Linked DNA regions of Astyanax mexicanus. The protein of the gene in region 2 purifies or fractionates together with the protein of the main gene of each other region. This does not show direct contact. Links are inferred from orthologs where the notes say so. Each region holds a gene or a part of one and is shown on either strand. Other genes may lie near its edges. The genes, in order: pidd1 and casp2.

The links.
Region 1: the proteins of casp2 (region 2) and pidd1 purify together in Homo sapiens (affinity purification with western blotting; 5 studies listed by BioGRID and IntAct, with this or other methods). This does not show direct contact. The link is inferred for Astyanax mexicanus from reciprocal best matches to the Homo sapiens genes CASP2 and PIDD1.

Annotation. Positions count from the first base shown.
Region 1 is NC_064409.1:47,560,395-47,568,578, forward strand, and holds the start of pidd1 (p53-induced death domain-containing protein 1), read right to left. Parts: upstream 3,252-8,184; 5' UTR 3,059-3,251; intron 612-3,058; 5' UTR 400-611; coding exon 1-399. UniProt on the Homo sapiens protein: Component of the DNA damage/stress response pathway that functions downstream of p53/TP53 and can either promote cell survival or apoptosis.
Region 2 is NC_064413.1:38,957,807-38,965,529, reverse strand, and holds the start of casp2 (caspase-2), read right to left. Parts: upstream 3,259-7,723; 5' UTR 2,591-3,258; intron 1,180-2,590; exon of another isoform or gene 1,177-1,179; 5' UTR 1,173-1,176; coding exon 1,020-1,172; intron 781-1,019; coding exon 631-780; intron 524-630; coding exon 446-523; intron 1-445. Other genes in the region: m6pr (cation-dependent mannose-6-phosphate receptor), read right to left, coding at 7,196-7,318. UniProt on the Homo sapiens protein: Is a regulator of the cascade of caspases responsible for apoptosis execution. Might function by either activating some proteins required for cell death or inactivating proteins necessary for cell survival.

The DNA.
Region 1 (8,184 bases), on a different chromosome or scaffold from region 2:
GGAAGAAGAGGTAGAAGGAGCAGAGAGAAGGAAAAGAAAGCTTTCTCCATTTCCAGCTGTGTTCATATCCTCCGCCTGCATTCGCTGAGCTTTTTGTATTGATGCTAAAAGTTCCGTCTTCAGTTTGGCATCATTTCCCAGTTCTTCCACTTCATTTGTATATTGACCTGCACTGCAAGCAGGTCTACTCTCCACCTCCAGTGACTGGACAGTATTCCTACTCCTCAAGTCTTCAGGCCTGGTTTCCACAGTCATCACTCCAACTGTTTCCAAAATCCTTTCAGAATCCCTTCTTCCCTGATCTTCTCCTGTGGACACGTCACGCCCTTTATCCTCTGCATACTGGTCTGTAAAGGCTTCTTCATACGTCTTCTCTCTCTCCATCCTTTCCCTCTCCATCCTTTTCTCTCCTTTCTTTTTTTTCCTTTCAGTTCTTTATCCTTTGCATGAGAAAGGAGAGAGCAGAGAGTAGAAGTGTCACAACATAAATGTGACACCTCATCTCAGCCTCCAGTTCCATAGCTGGCACTCAATCACATCACCAAACCGGTCCACGCTGAGAAGACCATGCCCAGGCAAGCCCATGCATGGAGGGTGAGACGCCACTCATTCTGCAGTAGAGAGGTGCAAATTGAAAAGACTGAGAAGCGTTAAAAACAAAAAAAAGAAAACACTAGTAGCCATGCAACTAATGAAAGAGGCTTCTCAAATGTTTTTTTGTTTCCTTACTGGACCAATTAGAGCTCCCACCCGTTTTAGAAAACTATTTTTTCTCAGTTCTTTTTCCAAGACATTTGCAATGGCCTCAGTACATGACCACACACATACACACACAGTGAACATAGCTATTAAAATCTTCTTAGCGTAAATAGGTTTTACACATATGGTGCACTATACTGAAAGTACCATTCAACACCTTGTACTAAAAGCAAATCTCTTACATAGGATAAGGGTATTTTTCAAATGTGGGCCTTATAAGTTTTAAAGCTGCCTTTGGTGAAGGAGAAAGGAAAGACTTGTGAATAAATCTCAAATCTCAGTTGCTCAACAGTTCACATTTTAAAGGACATTTAAAAAACATTTTTATATTTTCAGTGAAGGACAGTAACACAGTAAGTGCAGTTAATAAAAGAATGAAGTTTAACTTAAGTTGTTTTTGCTTGTATCCATACTTAAATACTGAAGTATGTCAATTTTGAATTACCTTTTATTCTCTCAAATATCAAATCAAAAGACAAATATCTTACTTTTTACCAGGGGTATACGAAACAGACAAAAATGTAATGTTGCAATCTGAATTTCTTAATGTTCATGGAAATTCTAATATTGATTTGAAAAATATGATCCTATATGAATTTCCTAATAATTTAGGTTTGTTTTTCTAAAAAACAAACTGAACTTTCTGAACTTTGTAGCACTCATATTCCCAGACCATAAAGTAGTTTGATGTGCATACTAGGGGTGTGTCATATTGTATTGTACCCAATTATATAGCAAAACATATTGACACGATAGAAAATGTATATTGTGATATCGCAATATTCTTGCGAGTTACTATGTCTAGCATTGTTTTAATATTTCCAGTATTTACTTTAATTGCTTGTTTGCAGTTTATATGCACGCACTAAAAATGCAGCACTTTAGTTTTGCGGTAGGTTTTTGTTGTTACTTTATTTGTGTTAGTCTAGTATTAAACACACTAATTAGGGGTGTGACAATATCTCTTGCCTTGAGATATTCCTTGACAGGTGTTGAATGTGTCTCGCGAGGTTTATGTAACCAAAACAAATATTTATATAGTAAACATTTCAGTCTGGTCTCCTGAGATGAGTCTCTTCACACCTAACTCTAATATTTATACTCTAATATTTATAAATAAAACTTTAATATTTATTTTGTTGATGTAATATATACTTTAAATATATCAATGCGCCAAGAATACTGTTAAAAAAAATAGCCTAAAATATTGTGATAGTACTTTACAGCAATGTCGCCCACTGATGAACTCTCCCTCAGACTAGTGAGGTTACGTGATAACAGTCTGCAGGATGAAGAGCCCCCTCTGCTGGTGTCTGCAGGTAATGAAGTTTGGGTTTTCTGTTATTTACAATGCTACTGCACCCCTTCTAATTTAATCCTGAAAACTCACATTGTGAAAAAAAATAGGATTTATCGTACTTTTTACTCCACATAATGCAAAACCTTAAGGAGTAAAAGTCGTTACTGCTGGCCCAGTATGCATAAACATTTATCATATCAACACAAAAGTAGCACTACACAAGCACATCAATCAATATACAGTGAACACTTTCATACAGTGAAGTAGGGATCCAGTGCAATCACACAATTTAACATCAATACAACAGGGTACAATTTGGGAATGCCCTATGTCTGCAGAAAGTATGAAATAGAACAGCAGTAAATAAAAACTAATTTATGAACCTGTGTTTAAAACAGCTTTTATTAAGTAAAGTAAAGTAAATAAAACATCTGCTTGTCTGCAGGTAATTATATACAACAACGTGGTTCTTTGTCTTCAGTGTTTTGTGTTAATGATAATTTTACTAGACAGCACTGTCAGACTAATGAATGACATTCTGTTAAAAGACTGCTGAACTAAGAATGATACCAGAGATTATTTACCTTAAGACAAGCAGATGTCAAAATGGTAGCTTTATTTCTATTTTAACTCAAACAGCACCTCTGCTCATTTCCCAGGCCTACAGTGACACTGTTAATTATAGACAACTAATCACTGCCTTGTTTTCAAACTAAGCTTACCAGCTAGCTAGATGGAGAGCTGTCATACACTGACAGTAGGCTGTTAATATTAATCACATTTAAGTTAGTTAGTTACAGCAGAGAGTGTAGAAGTTTTTAAACAGCCCAGTCTGCTAACTGGCTAGGTAACTGCAGAACACACACCCACACTGGCCTGTGCTGAACACAGTTAACCCATGCTAGTTTAGATGAGTTAGCTTCCCAGCAGCTTTCAGATAGAAAACTTTCCTGCTAAGCTTTAGCCGGTTAGCTGTGTAAATAACCGGTAAACACTCACCTCTCCGAGATTGTAGGGGTTTTTCTCCGCCTCCAGTAAATATAGCGTTAAATATATCAGCCCAAAGACGCGTTAATCTGCCAAATGAAGCTGAACGTGGTGAAGATAGGCTGTTAAACTAACATTAGTTAAGTTACTTCCTTGTCAAAACAGTGCTCCCCATATTTCACCCGCCACTCAGAATCATAACCACCGCGGAACTTTCAGGACGAGGCGGGACACAGCTCCTTAAAGAGACAGTACACAGTACACAGTACACACACACACACAGGTTGTTTTAATATTGTTTTAAGAACCTTCCATAATGACCACTAAAGCAAATGGTGTAGTAAAACATGATAAAGAGTAACTTAACTTACTAACCTTTGTTGAATAGCACACCTCTATTCTCCTACAGCTTTCTGATATTTCAGTAATTTTGTGCTTTATGCCCAGCACGGCAGTATCGGGGCATATTTTGCCCTGATTAATTGCTCTTTACACCGTTATCCTGTCTAAAAGTAGCTCCACACCTCATTGGTAGTACCCAGAGAGCCCTGACATACAAAATGAGGCATTAATAACATTAAAAGTGTTCAAGAAGCTTATTAAAAACCACTGTTTACAACTCGTAGCGTTAGCTAATCACCGGGCGCCACCGTCACTGTACTGATAATGACCAATTTTACACCGGAGTTCTCCTTTAACTTCAGTAACCAAAAATACTAACCAGCTACTAGTGTGAAACACGTATTTTTCGGACTACAAGGCAAATCTTAAAATCCTTTAATTGTCCCAAAAAATGATGCACCTTATTTATGAATTCTACCAGTCAGAAACAGTAAAGCCACTCAGCACTATAGACAGCAATATAAGGGTGAGTTTTCAGTAAACTTCCTCCATCACTAAGGCTGGGTGCAGCAGCATTAGCCACTAACTGCACCTATTGCTCTTTCGCCATTCAGGCGACTGTAGTGTGCGTTTTTGCGGTGTTAAAAACAAGCTACGTGGGAAAAAACGCTGATAGTGTCCTGGGTTACCAGAACACAGTAACAAATATATTTTATTATTGTACTCAATGAGCTTGAATGTTTACAGACCATGTTAACTTTCATCAGTTTTAACCAAAATGCAGCAGTGAGACACTAACTATAATAACTTAACATTACAAATATATATATATATAAATATATATAAATAATATATATATATATATATATATATATATATATATATATATATATATATATATTTTTTTTTTTTTTATATTCACAAATAATGATCTTTTCTGTTTTTTAAGGCTGCTAAAGTGAGTGTTATACAGGCCTTAGTGTCCAAGATTACTGTAATCAGTGAGGCCTATTTACAATGGTGGCAAGAGGAAATCAGGACATCAAGATATTCTAAAATTAAATATGGATTTTTAATGCTAATTAACTAAAATATTTAATTCTAATTTTAAAATGACAAAAAGTTTGTGTGCATTTTAAAGTTGATTAGTTGATAAAGCTGATTTACATGAAAAAGTAAGCTCCGTGTTCACTAACTTATTGATTTTAACTTGATGTGTACGTTTTATGCTCTCTGCCTGAGTACTATTTACTATTTGCTCCTGGAGTCTTCTCACATTATTTGCACTGATAAAAGCCATCCGGTCCTTGGAATGGTAAGGATGGACAGAGGAACACCAAAGCCAGGGTACTGAAAACAACAATGTCAGGGTGGTGCTCATCCAGTCAGTCCAGGTAGTCTAGCAGCTCCTCCTCTGAAAAATACCCTGAAAAAGACATAGAGAGAAATGACAAAAATGAATAAAAAGTATTAAGATAATAGTGAGAATTGGTTAGAAAATAATAAGAATGAGTGAGAATTGGTGAAATAAATTGAGGATAATCTGCAGGTTGTGTTCAGACTTGAACATCTCAGTCCAGTCTGAGCTTCAATATTCAGATCTAACCCCCAAGTATATGTGTTTTTTTTTTTTTTTCCTTTTATTGGTAAACAACCAGTGACTGTGCGGAAGCAAATTACAGAAAGTCAGATTTTAGGAAGACTTATGCTTACAGCTTGCCTAATATACCTTTGAAATTTTCAGTACATGATATTTTGTGAATATTGGTAAAAAAAAATGTTTTAAAATATTTGTAAATAACAGGATTAACGCAGGTAAACACTTGGTTATATGGCATTAAATTAACAGCTTGGTAAAGTTAATTTATTGTTCGACATTAAGCGGAGATTCGCGTTTCGGACGTTCTCTTGCTCGCATGCAACCTCCTAAACTCTCTCAAATGATATCTTTCAAATGACAGAGGAACAGAGAACAAACTACAAACACTAGATTTTCTCAAAACACCCAACTTTTCCCTTTCTCCGAGGAAATTTGCTGAAAATAGCAGGAATCGCTGCAGCGATCAATCTAAAATCACTTGTAGTCTTTAGAGACACATTTTTATTTATTTTTTACTGTAAAAAATGCTACTGTAACACGCCCACAGGACATATAGATGAAATATCACTTGACTACAGGTGATTTTATATCGATATTTCATATGAACATGTTATGCTACAGGTGCTAACGTGACCTGCAATCAGTGACAATGGAGAAGCAGACTTGTGGTGTCTGATTATGAGTATACCGAATATATGAATACAGAAATAAATTATCCAGGAAATGAATGAATGCAGAAATTATGTAAATAAATAAACATAAACATGAATAAAAAACAATTTATTAAGATATTTATTTTTAGGTATATGTATTTATTTTTATATTATTTACAATTATTCTTTACAGTTTTAATCACCACATTACTTTTATTAAGTGATTTACATACGATTTTATTTATTTATTTATTTTGGCAGATTTGGTCCTCCATAATTTTCTACAAATTGCTCCTTTAAAACACATTTTAAATGACCCTCTTCTCTAGGGACCACTTTGCCTTGGGGACCCAGTTTAAAAAATTGATTATACTGAATAGTGTTTTGATGACATCTAAATGCTAGAGCAGGTAATGCAGCCGAGATTTTTTTATTGTATTTTTTATGTATTTAATTATCTCGAGATTATTATCCTGAGATGCCATATTAAATATCAAATTAAAAGGAATAAATATAAAAAAATAATCAAATAAAAATATTTGCATCAATGGAAAGACCAGAATGTTTTTTAAACAGTGATTCAAATCACCTTTAAAAAAAGATTTGAATATTTTTGATTTTACATTTGCAAAAGAACTGAATTACTTTTTTAAAAGAATCAAATTACTTTTGTCATGTCTGAATTGAAGCTGAGTAATCTGGCCTTTTATTGGAATAAAATGCTAATAACTAATGACAATAGCTAAATACTTATCAGCAGCTAAAGTAATGGACCATGAACACAAGAGTTATTCTGTGCTTTTGGATCATTGTTAAGCCAGTATTAAATTGTTGTTGGTGTTGTTTGTTGAGTGAACAATAATACATCCTGGCTGAGGCTCAGGATGTATCATCTTCCTGTGTTATGTTACTACCATATAATCATATATAATAATGTAAAATAATGATATTACGTAAACTTCTAAACGGCGTCATTTGCCAAGGCAGCCTATTGTAGGTCATTAGTCAAGTCCTATTGTAACTGGGTGCTGTTCAGTGATTCCTCTTATAAGACTAATATGATTAAAAACCCTTTTGAAAAGAAAATCCCTATGATGTAATGTAGTCTCAGATTAGCCTACTTTTGCGCTCAGAAACACACCATTCTCCCAACTCCAGCTTAGAACCATATTTAGAACCTGTCTTAGATCATAAGAGTTATTGGCGATGAATCACCAGTGGCAGTGCCATGTAGTCCAAGAGGAAAAGAGTAATATTAGAAACACAGGATCATTCAGACATTACTGCACATAACTGCTGGTGTTTCGGTTGTTATTATTCCTTGCCTGGACATGTTGTGTTATTGTTTTGTTCCGTTTGCATGCCCCAGCTGCTGTGCTCAGAGATTCGTCCTGCCCCAGAGACTGACAGCATATTTTCCTGATACCGTTACTTTTCTTCTGGGGGAAGAGAAGAAGCAGCAGCGGATGCAGTTATCATCACCTAAGAATCCAAAGAATTTTATTTTCACTGGAGCTGTCTGATGATAGCATTATGAACTGGGTGTGCCTGACATGGAAAATGAAAAGCAAGACTATTAATCATAATCAGGTGGTCCACAAGAGAAGAAAAACAAAACTACTGCAGATTACATATGTGAGAAATGTGTTTAACTTAAAGTGAGATATAGAGTAAATGAGCTAAAATGCCTTACCCCCTTATGATGCCCATTGATTGACCTCTCAAATATACTTGGTAAAACCTTTTCCTCGAGACACATCTGGCAAGATGTGGCCTACTAGAAGGAGGTCAAAGGATAGTAATATTTTTGTCAGAGCACATTTACAACACATTCTTAGAAAATATCACTTGTGTTTCGAAATACATCAGCATATACACTATACCAGCAACAACACCATAGCAAAATTGTATTATAGTCATATAGTGAATATGTCATCAGTATTGTATCAAAACATCAGATCTCCTTACTTTACAGTAGAGAAAAAAACCTTTTTGTCTTTCAGTGGAAGTCCATGTCATTTATTTAGTGTTTATTTTAAGTCATTTTTAAGCATTTTTATTTAATTTTTATCAACAATGTGTAGTACACAATGTTAAGAACTACTGCCAGATCCACATTACCTAAAAAAGATACTGAGAAAATGGAGATACACTATGTTGCCAAAAGTATTCACTCGTATGCCGTTACACACATATAAACTTGAGTGACATTCCATTAGTACTATGTGCAGGCCAGTTAAGTTGGAATAAGAAAGGGCCATCCCTAAACTGTTTATAGTGTCCTGTACTGGAACTAATGGGCCGAGTACCATAATCTCCCTCCACCAAACTTTATACTTGGCCCAATGCAGTCAGACAATACTGTTCTCCTGGCAACCGCCATACCTACACTCATCCATCAGATTGCCAGACAGAGAAGGGTGACTTGTCACTCCAGAGAACACATCTCCACTGATCTGGAGTCCAGGGGTGGCGTGCTTTGCACCACAGCATCCAACACTTGCATTGCACTTGGTGATGTAAGACTTGAATGTTCAGCCATG
Region 2 (7,723 bases):
CAAAAGTGGCCAATATCGGAAGTAAAATTGTAAGACTGAGTGTGCTTTTTGTCGTTTACACAGACAATATATCTGTGTCGCACATGCCAAAAATACAGTTTGGACCAATTGCACCCGTTGTGGAACAATTAGATCACTATAGGGTCTCGAACAACCAACAGTATCTAGATCTGAAATTTTCTGCTAACATTCCAGATCCTTTTTATATACCAACTACAGAACTAAGCATTGATGTGTCCCAATGGTAATTCCAATTGCTCAATTTGGGCAAATGCAGTACTAGTTTGACTTAACTCTTTGTCAAACTACAATAAGATGTGATCGTATTCACCAGCTAGATCATATTTACTTCCTATTTCTATTCATGACTTCCTTTACTATTCCTGAACTTAATTCCTTAAATTCTACATCTTTGGGTGGGTTTTTAGGTGTCTATAACCCTCACCTCCTGGTTTCCCCTGTCCTTAGCAGGTGTGTTGTCCTGTGCCAATGACATTTCTCCCTCAATCTCTGTGGGTTTGTTCTGCAACCACACATGTGCAACACTCCTGTTATGACAACTTTTACTTCTGGCACTGCTAACTCTGTAAACCAGTGAGAAGCCTGTTACAGTGGGTGCCATTTACTCACCTCTCGTTCCCTGAACCTAATGAGCAGGGTGCAGAGGTGCTGCTGCTCTGTCTCTTTAAGAGCCGTGCAGAAGCTGTTGAAGGCCTGGGGGCCTCGCTTAGGCAGCAGTGACAGCAAACGCCAGCTTCGTTTATGGGACGTAGGCTCCGCCTGCAAGATTCAAGTCATGACAAGGTCAAACACTACTACTACAGTGCAGTCAACAGATATATTGCCCTGTCAAACAAGTGACTATACTGAAAAAGCAATGAAAATAACTGCAGTTGAATTTCTTTGATAAAGCACAAAACAATAAACACTGTTTTGAATGAATAGTAACTATTTGCTCCTATAAAACAGTTCCTAACACAATATGACATATTCAGCACCATTAGTTACATGCTTATTACCAGAATGGTTTCAGCCATGCCCTCTGTGAGAACATCCTCTGCCTGCAAAAACTGGATAAGTAGTTCATCCACCACCATTTCTTTACATAGTGCCACAGAGTTCTTCTTCAGTGCCAGCTTATCTCGCTCTTTCATTCCACATTCCACAAGCATGGTGCTGCTGTTCGCATGTGTAGATATATATGTGCATGAGAGAACAAAACAACATGAGATGTTAGACTGCAGCAGAACAAAAGTAACAGAGCATCACAATTCAAGAACATCTTCAATGATTTTTTGTTATTTATTTAATTTATGTTATTTATTTAATGTAGGTTATTTATTTAATTTAATTAATTTTCAAATCAGGCAATTTATTGCTAAAAACATCATATGTATTTGTTTAGGGCCCAAAGCCTCACAGGGCATGTGTAAATATGAAGAACGTTTTTTCTAATGTAATTATATTTTATGTATTTAGTTGCAATAAAACAAAAGCGTACAAAAAATACATAAACTAAAAAATACTTGAGAATTAGAATTTATGTTTTGGAATGACAAAGTCCTGATTCTAACTCTACCAAAATTCTGTGATATGAACTAAAGAGGGCTCTGCATGCAATATGTTCCAGTATTACTGATGAACTGAAACGCATTTGCAGGCAGGAATTCCAAAGTTGAGGAAATCTTATTTGCAGCTTCAAGAAACATTTCAAAGAAAGTGACTGATGCTACAGAAGAATACCTATGTTATTACATAAGTAGTTACCTTACTTTTGCCTAGCCTACACTGTGGATGTTAACTAAGTGTGTTTAATAAAAAGACAAACATGGTACAACTGAATGTATGAAATTATTAAGTAAATAAAAACAAACATAATGAAACAATTCGACATATATATTGCATAAATTAAATTACCCACTGAACACTGTACGTCAACAGCCCAGGCGGCTGAAATTTGATCAAATCACCAAAACTTTGCTCTTATGAAGACAAATAAATGTGGTTTTGTGAATATTGTGATGCATCCATACTAACTAGTTTTGCCAGAAAGTGTTTGTCTTTAACTGTGCCTTGGATAATGATCAGACTACATTTTATCAGCCCAACAACAGCAAGGTCTTGTGTATGCAACGGTATTTAGATGATATATATGGTAGAAAAAAGTACATAACAGACACATGACCAATGAAAACTTATTTTAGCTGTATTTATGAACTACATGAAGCACATTATTTACAAAATATTACTATGTGAAATGTTTGAAATTGCTTTATGAACTGTGAAGTTACCTAACTGGCTAACAGTATCTATAGCTAGAGGCCTGCTGGTTGTGATGCTTTTTGCAAGAAGTTATATTGCTAATACGCTAGGTTATCCAACAACAACAAAGAGGAACAATGCCTGTAAAGTTAGCTATCTATCTATAAGGCTATTAGCTTAGCAAACATTTCACAAGAAAGAAAAATAATATATATATAACTTACTAAAAATAGATGATTTCACAAGTTTTATCCAGGTGTTGAAAAGTTAAAAATGTTTTTTTTTAGCATGACAAAGCTAGCTCGCTTATGCAGTTAAACAAACTTACAGTTGTCGGTGTTTCCTAGTGGACTTCCAGATTAAGTTGCTGTCTTCAAACTTCAGCTGAATGTTGACCTACAGACAGAGGAGCTCTCAACACTTCACCAACAGTTTTCCCAGTCTTCTGCAGCAGACTGGATATATCTAGCTAACTCAGCTCAACAGCGTTACCTAAATAAGATAACTGAACTAACTAGGTTAGCTAGCTTATAATATTACAGCACAGTCTAGCCAAATTATAACAAATTAAGAGTAGAGAAACTGGCACACAATCGGCAGTAGACTGTTTCAATTTTGTAATAAACTGTCTGGCTAACTAAGTTAGTTAACTAGTTTACCAGCTATGTTAGCTAGCTAACTATCCCACACGCTTGGCAGTTAGCCCCTGTATGACTGATTAAAAGAGCAGCTAGCGTTAACTAGCTAGTTAAGCTAACCAGGCTAAAAACATAACGACCAGCTCGGCTTAATAACGCCATACAGTCCCGTACAACTAGTCACCAAATCCTGTCTGCAGCCCTGTGAATTAATATAATTCATACAGCTCCGTCCCCAGGCGTTTTTACCAGGAGTACAGGGAGAAAACGAGAATTTAAAAGAATAATTGACAGCCCCAGAGCTCTCCACAAGTAACTTCCGCGCCAACAAACAGCGAATGAGGAGCTGCTGCTGCTTCTTCTTGTGGGTGGACGCGCTGTACAGTGTGGTGTTACCGCCGCGCACTGGTACAGTCCGACCTTTTCAATAGATGTAGCAAAACTACAGAGACGGGGTACAGGGTACTATACAATTACAATTACCAAATGAATATTGAAAAAAATCACACAAAGTGTCCTGCAGAGTAAAAATTCAACTACACCAGCTAATGTAGCCCATATCACACAATAACCTTTATAGTCAGGGGTCATAAACAATATAAACATTGTAAAATTCACACACAGTGTCCTGCAGTGTAAAAATTAAATTACAACAGCTAATGTAGCACATACCACACAATAACCTTTATAGTCAGGGGTCATAAACAATATAAACATTGTAAAATTCACACAAAGTGTCCTGCAGAATAAAAATTAAATTACACCAGCTAATGTAGCCCATACCACACAATAACATGTATAGTCCTGCAGTGTAAAAAATTCACACAAAAAGACTTTAGGAGTTTTAAACATTATCACTTTTGCTGTGCAGGAATTACAAACAGTCCACATAATACTACACCATTCTTATATGAATGGTCTGTTCCACCTTAAAAGCGGAAGATGTTAAATTCAAAGCCCATAAAAAATATATTTAGCCTGAGACCTGTGTGTTGCCACAGCAGCATTTAAGGTGGAAGGGTAAATATAAACAATCTGAATTCTGTGTTCCTTTGATTTTAATAATGTTATAATAAGCTTGTGATGAAATCACTGATAATAAAGAGGGGATTCCCTTTAGCCCACTGTTTTCCAGTGTGGTTGTGTTCAGCCTTGCTGACATAACCAAAAACTCCTTTCAGAATGTTCCTTTGCAGTGTAACTCATATTTGAACATACTCTGGTCCAGATGAAGAGGACTTCCCACATGGTAGCACTCCGAAGCTGGACATAAATAAATAGGGTTAGAAAGAAAATGCAGAATTGCATTTTATGCTTTAATATATGAAGAGTTTATTTTGCAAAAAAATATATATAATGTATGATTAAAGAGTAGCACCTACTGTACCGTTATCTGTTCTTGCAAAATTATTATTATTTTTTTTATATTTATTGACATTGCCTCAATATATCCACTTTTCATATCCTATGTATTATAAATTATACTCGCAGCAATGTGACTGTCAGAACAACCAGAATAGAATCTAGTGCATCTAATGTCTCTGTTCCAAATATATAATGAGGTTTGAAGTTTCTAATGAAATAGCCAAATGCGGTCACAGGATGAGGCCTCAGAATCAAAGAAAAAATGAAAACAGAAACCGAAGACAAATCAATATTCAAGGTCACATAATGTGTTTTTTCTTCAGTGAGCATGAACACTATAACCCCTGTGATTCTGGCAAGGATAAAACTGACACTTGAAGTGTGTGTGTGGCGACAAATGTCAGATTTAATGTCAGATTTAGGTCACACTAAAAAGATAGAGTAGACAATCAAAATTAAAACCTTGGATCTGGGACACTTTACCTGCTGTGTGAACATACCCTAAAAAGTCTGGAGTAAACTGCCTGGGTTGTAACTGTTGGTAGACTAATAAATGACACATAAACAGCAGATAACAATCAAAAGCATTTATTTCTATTTTCATATCACAAGAAAAAACAAAGCTTGTTATTTCCACACAAAATAAACAGCAAAAGGAAAGGGCAAATATAGTCGGAGCTGACAGAACTGAAGTTCATATCTGTCTTAACTCTGATTTGAGCGCCAACTTTTTCAAATGTCAAAAAGTAATTTCTGTGGTTAAGCACAGTAGTAAGCACAGAAGGAAGTAGGGTCCAAAGCTAAGCTCCAGTAGTTTGTAATCATGTACAATTCCCAGTCCTGGTTCTGGAGAACATTTTGCAGCATTTAATGCAACAGCATGTTAACTCAGGAAGGGTTTGATATTTTACAAATTAGTTAGATCAGTTGTACTGGAATAGGAAAATAGGTGAAGGAAAAGCAGGGCTCAGGGTCCTCCAGGAAAAGGGTTGGGAACTGATACACATACATACACTAGTCAGCCAGAACATTAACACCACTTACAGGTAAACATATATTACCTTCATCTATAGTGGCATCTGTCAAGGGTGGGATATATTAGGCAGCATGTGATTAGTCCTTCTTAAAGTTGATGTGTTGACTACAAAAAGGGGCAAATATTTAGATTATAGCCATTATTACAAGAGCAGCATTTTGATGGCTGGATAACTGGGTCAAAACTTAAAATCAACAGACAGGGCTTGTGGGCTTATTCTGGTAGCAGTGAAATGGTGGACAACCAGTGAAATGGCGGCAGGGTCATGAGCACCTAAAGCTCACTGATGATCATTGATGAAGGACCCACCCAACCACAGAACACCAATTATGAGATTCTGATTTGTTGTTGCAGTACAGAGGGAAACCTACTCAATAATAGGCATGTGGTGTTAATGTTATGGCTGATATGTGTAGTCCTTACCATTGGGTAAACTAAAGGGTTTTATAAGATTTTCTTTTACCAACTGCAGTAGTTCTATATAGACCCCATAACACCCCAAAGGACCCTGTGGATGCCTGAATGTTTATTTTTCTTAATCTGATTATATTATATATATTATATTATCTGATCATATTCATCACAGTTTACACAGCTTTTAATTCACAATTAACCATTACTAAGAACACTTTAGTCCAGAAGAAGATGTTATCCCTGTTCTGGACAATGTAAAACTACATTGGTGATTTTTTGGTCACACTCCCATTAATATATCATCAGGGTTTCAGGAAGCTCCCATAAAGAGGTCTGTTTCAAGTGCAAATGTAAATGAATTGTCAAACAACTTTGGAAGTGCATTTTCCATTAGTTCATATCCAGTCTAAACAATAAAAATAAACAAAAAAAATTGTTTATCACTGTGCATCTGTGATAAACACAGTGCAGACGCAAGTTGCAGTGCATTAAGCAGATACCATGTTTTCCTTTAAATAGTGACAGCAGCTGAACTCAACAAAACTAAATAGATATTCACTCACCAACTGCAATCAGCATACAGGCCAGTCTATCTGAAACATTCACTAACCGTGCTGTTTAGCGCAAGACTAGCTGAAATGCATTTATGGAAAAAAAAGTCTATTATACTTATCACATTTTTATTAATGTTCACCGTTTACTGCATACAGTATCCATCATTAAATATTTCTTTAGGTTTATAGCGAAAGTACCTATATATTCTTCAGCAAACAAAATTTAATTCCCTCTTCCACTCCACAATGAGTTATTCTTACAAAAACATTTATAACAACAAGTCATTGATACTACAGAACATTATACTTAACTATATATATATATATATGGTCTAATAGGCTGAATGCAAAACAAACCATTTCTGTGCTTCTGTTTAGCATTTGCATTCTAATTGTTGCAGTAACAGAATGCTAAAGTAACCTTAACCTAAAACAATCTTTGTAAAATGTATCTTTCCCTTAGCAGAACACAGAAAAAAAAAACAAATGATCTGAGGTACCCCCTAATGAGACAACAAAGAAAACCTAGTGGGGCAGTACTAGGACCCAATAAGTTCATTATAAATATCAAATGCATTACTGTACTTAAATAAAACCACTTAGGCCACTAGTAAATGTATAATTTGTATGTTCTTTGGAGCTAAACTGAATGAAGAAAAATCAATAAACAAAACCCTACTTAGAAAATAATCTAAGCACAGGCTGTACATTCACACTGTGAATGTATAAAAATTTATTTTGAGAAACCAACTTTTCTGAGCTGATATTGTAATTTGAAATTCATCTGTCTGTAAGGGATTTATAGAGCAGTATAAGGAATGCTTAAAGATAAGTCATTTTGTTTTGTCTGACACATACCTAACATCCCCTGCCAAAACTTAGTCAAACCTAGGCTATTTCTACCTGACTAGATCAGATTGTCAAGGTCACATTGGAAGCAAGTGGTCATCCCTTTCCTCTGGCTCCTCTAATGGTTCAGTAGATACACCCCTGTAAGCAGGCGACTCCTCTCTCCTGCCACGGGATCGGCATACAAAGTCACATCCATCCTGTGAAAGAGAACAACAAACTCAATTAATATTTAATGCATTTCAGTCAGACAGACAGAAACAAGCTGTTCATTCAATGTTTTGCAAAACTTATGCACAGTAAGGACATTTTGGCAGAAAAGAAAACAGCAAAATAGTTGAGAAAAGGTTTTCATTCACTACAGCGAGGTGGATCATGGTTATCATGGATAAACAGTTCAGAGACACAAGGCAGGATGAGCAGTGGCCCAGGTAACAGAGGCTGAAATCTCTGTGCCACACTGACAAGATCCATTACGCCGTTTGGGAGTGCAAACATAGCAGACAGTTCTGGGAGAGCAGCACAGTGCTGTTTTTTCAGACACACCTCGTATATCACATTTTAGAATTTCCAATCACGCCCACACAAACTGATAATAAGTGAAA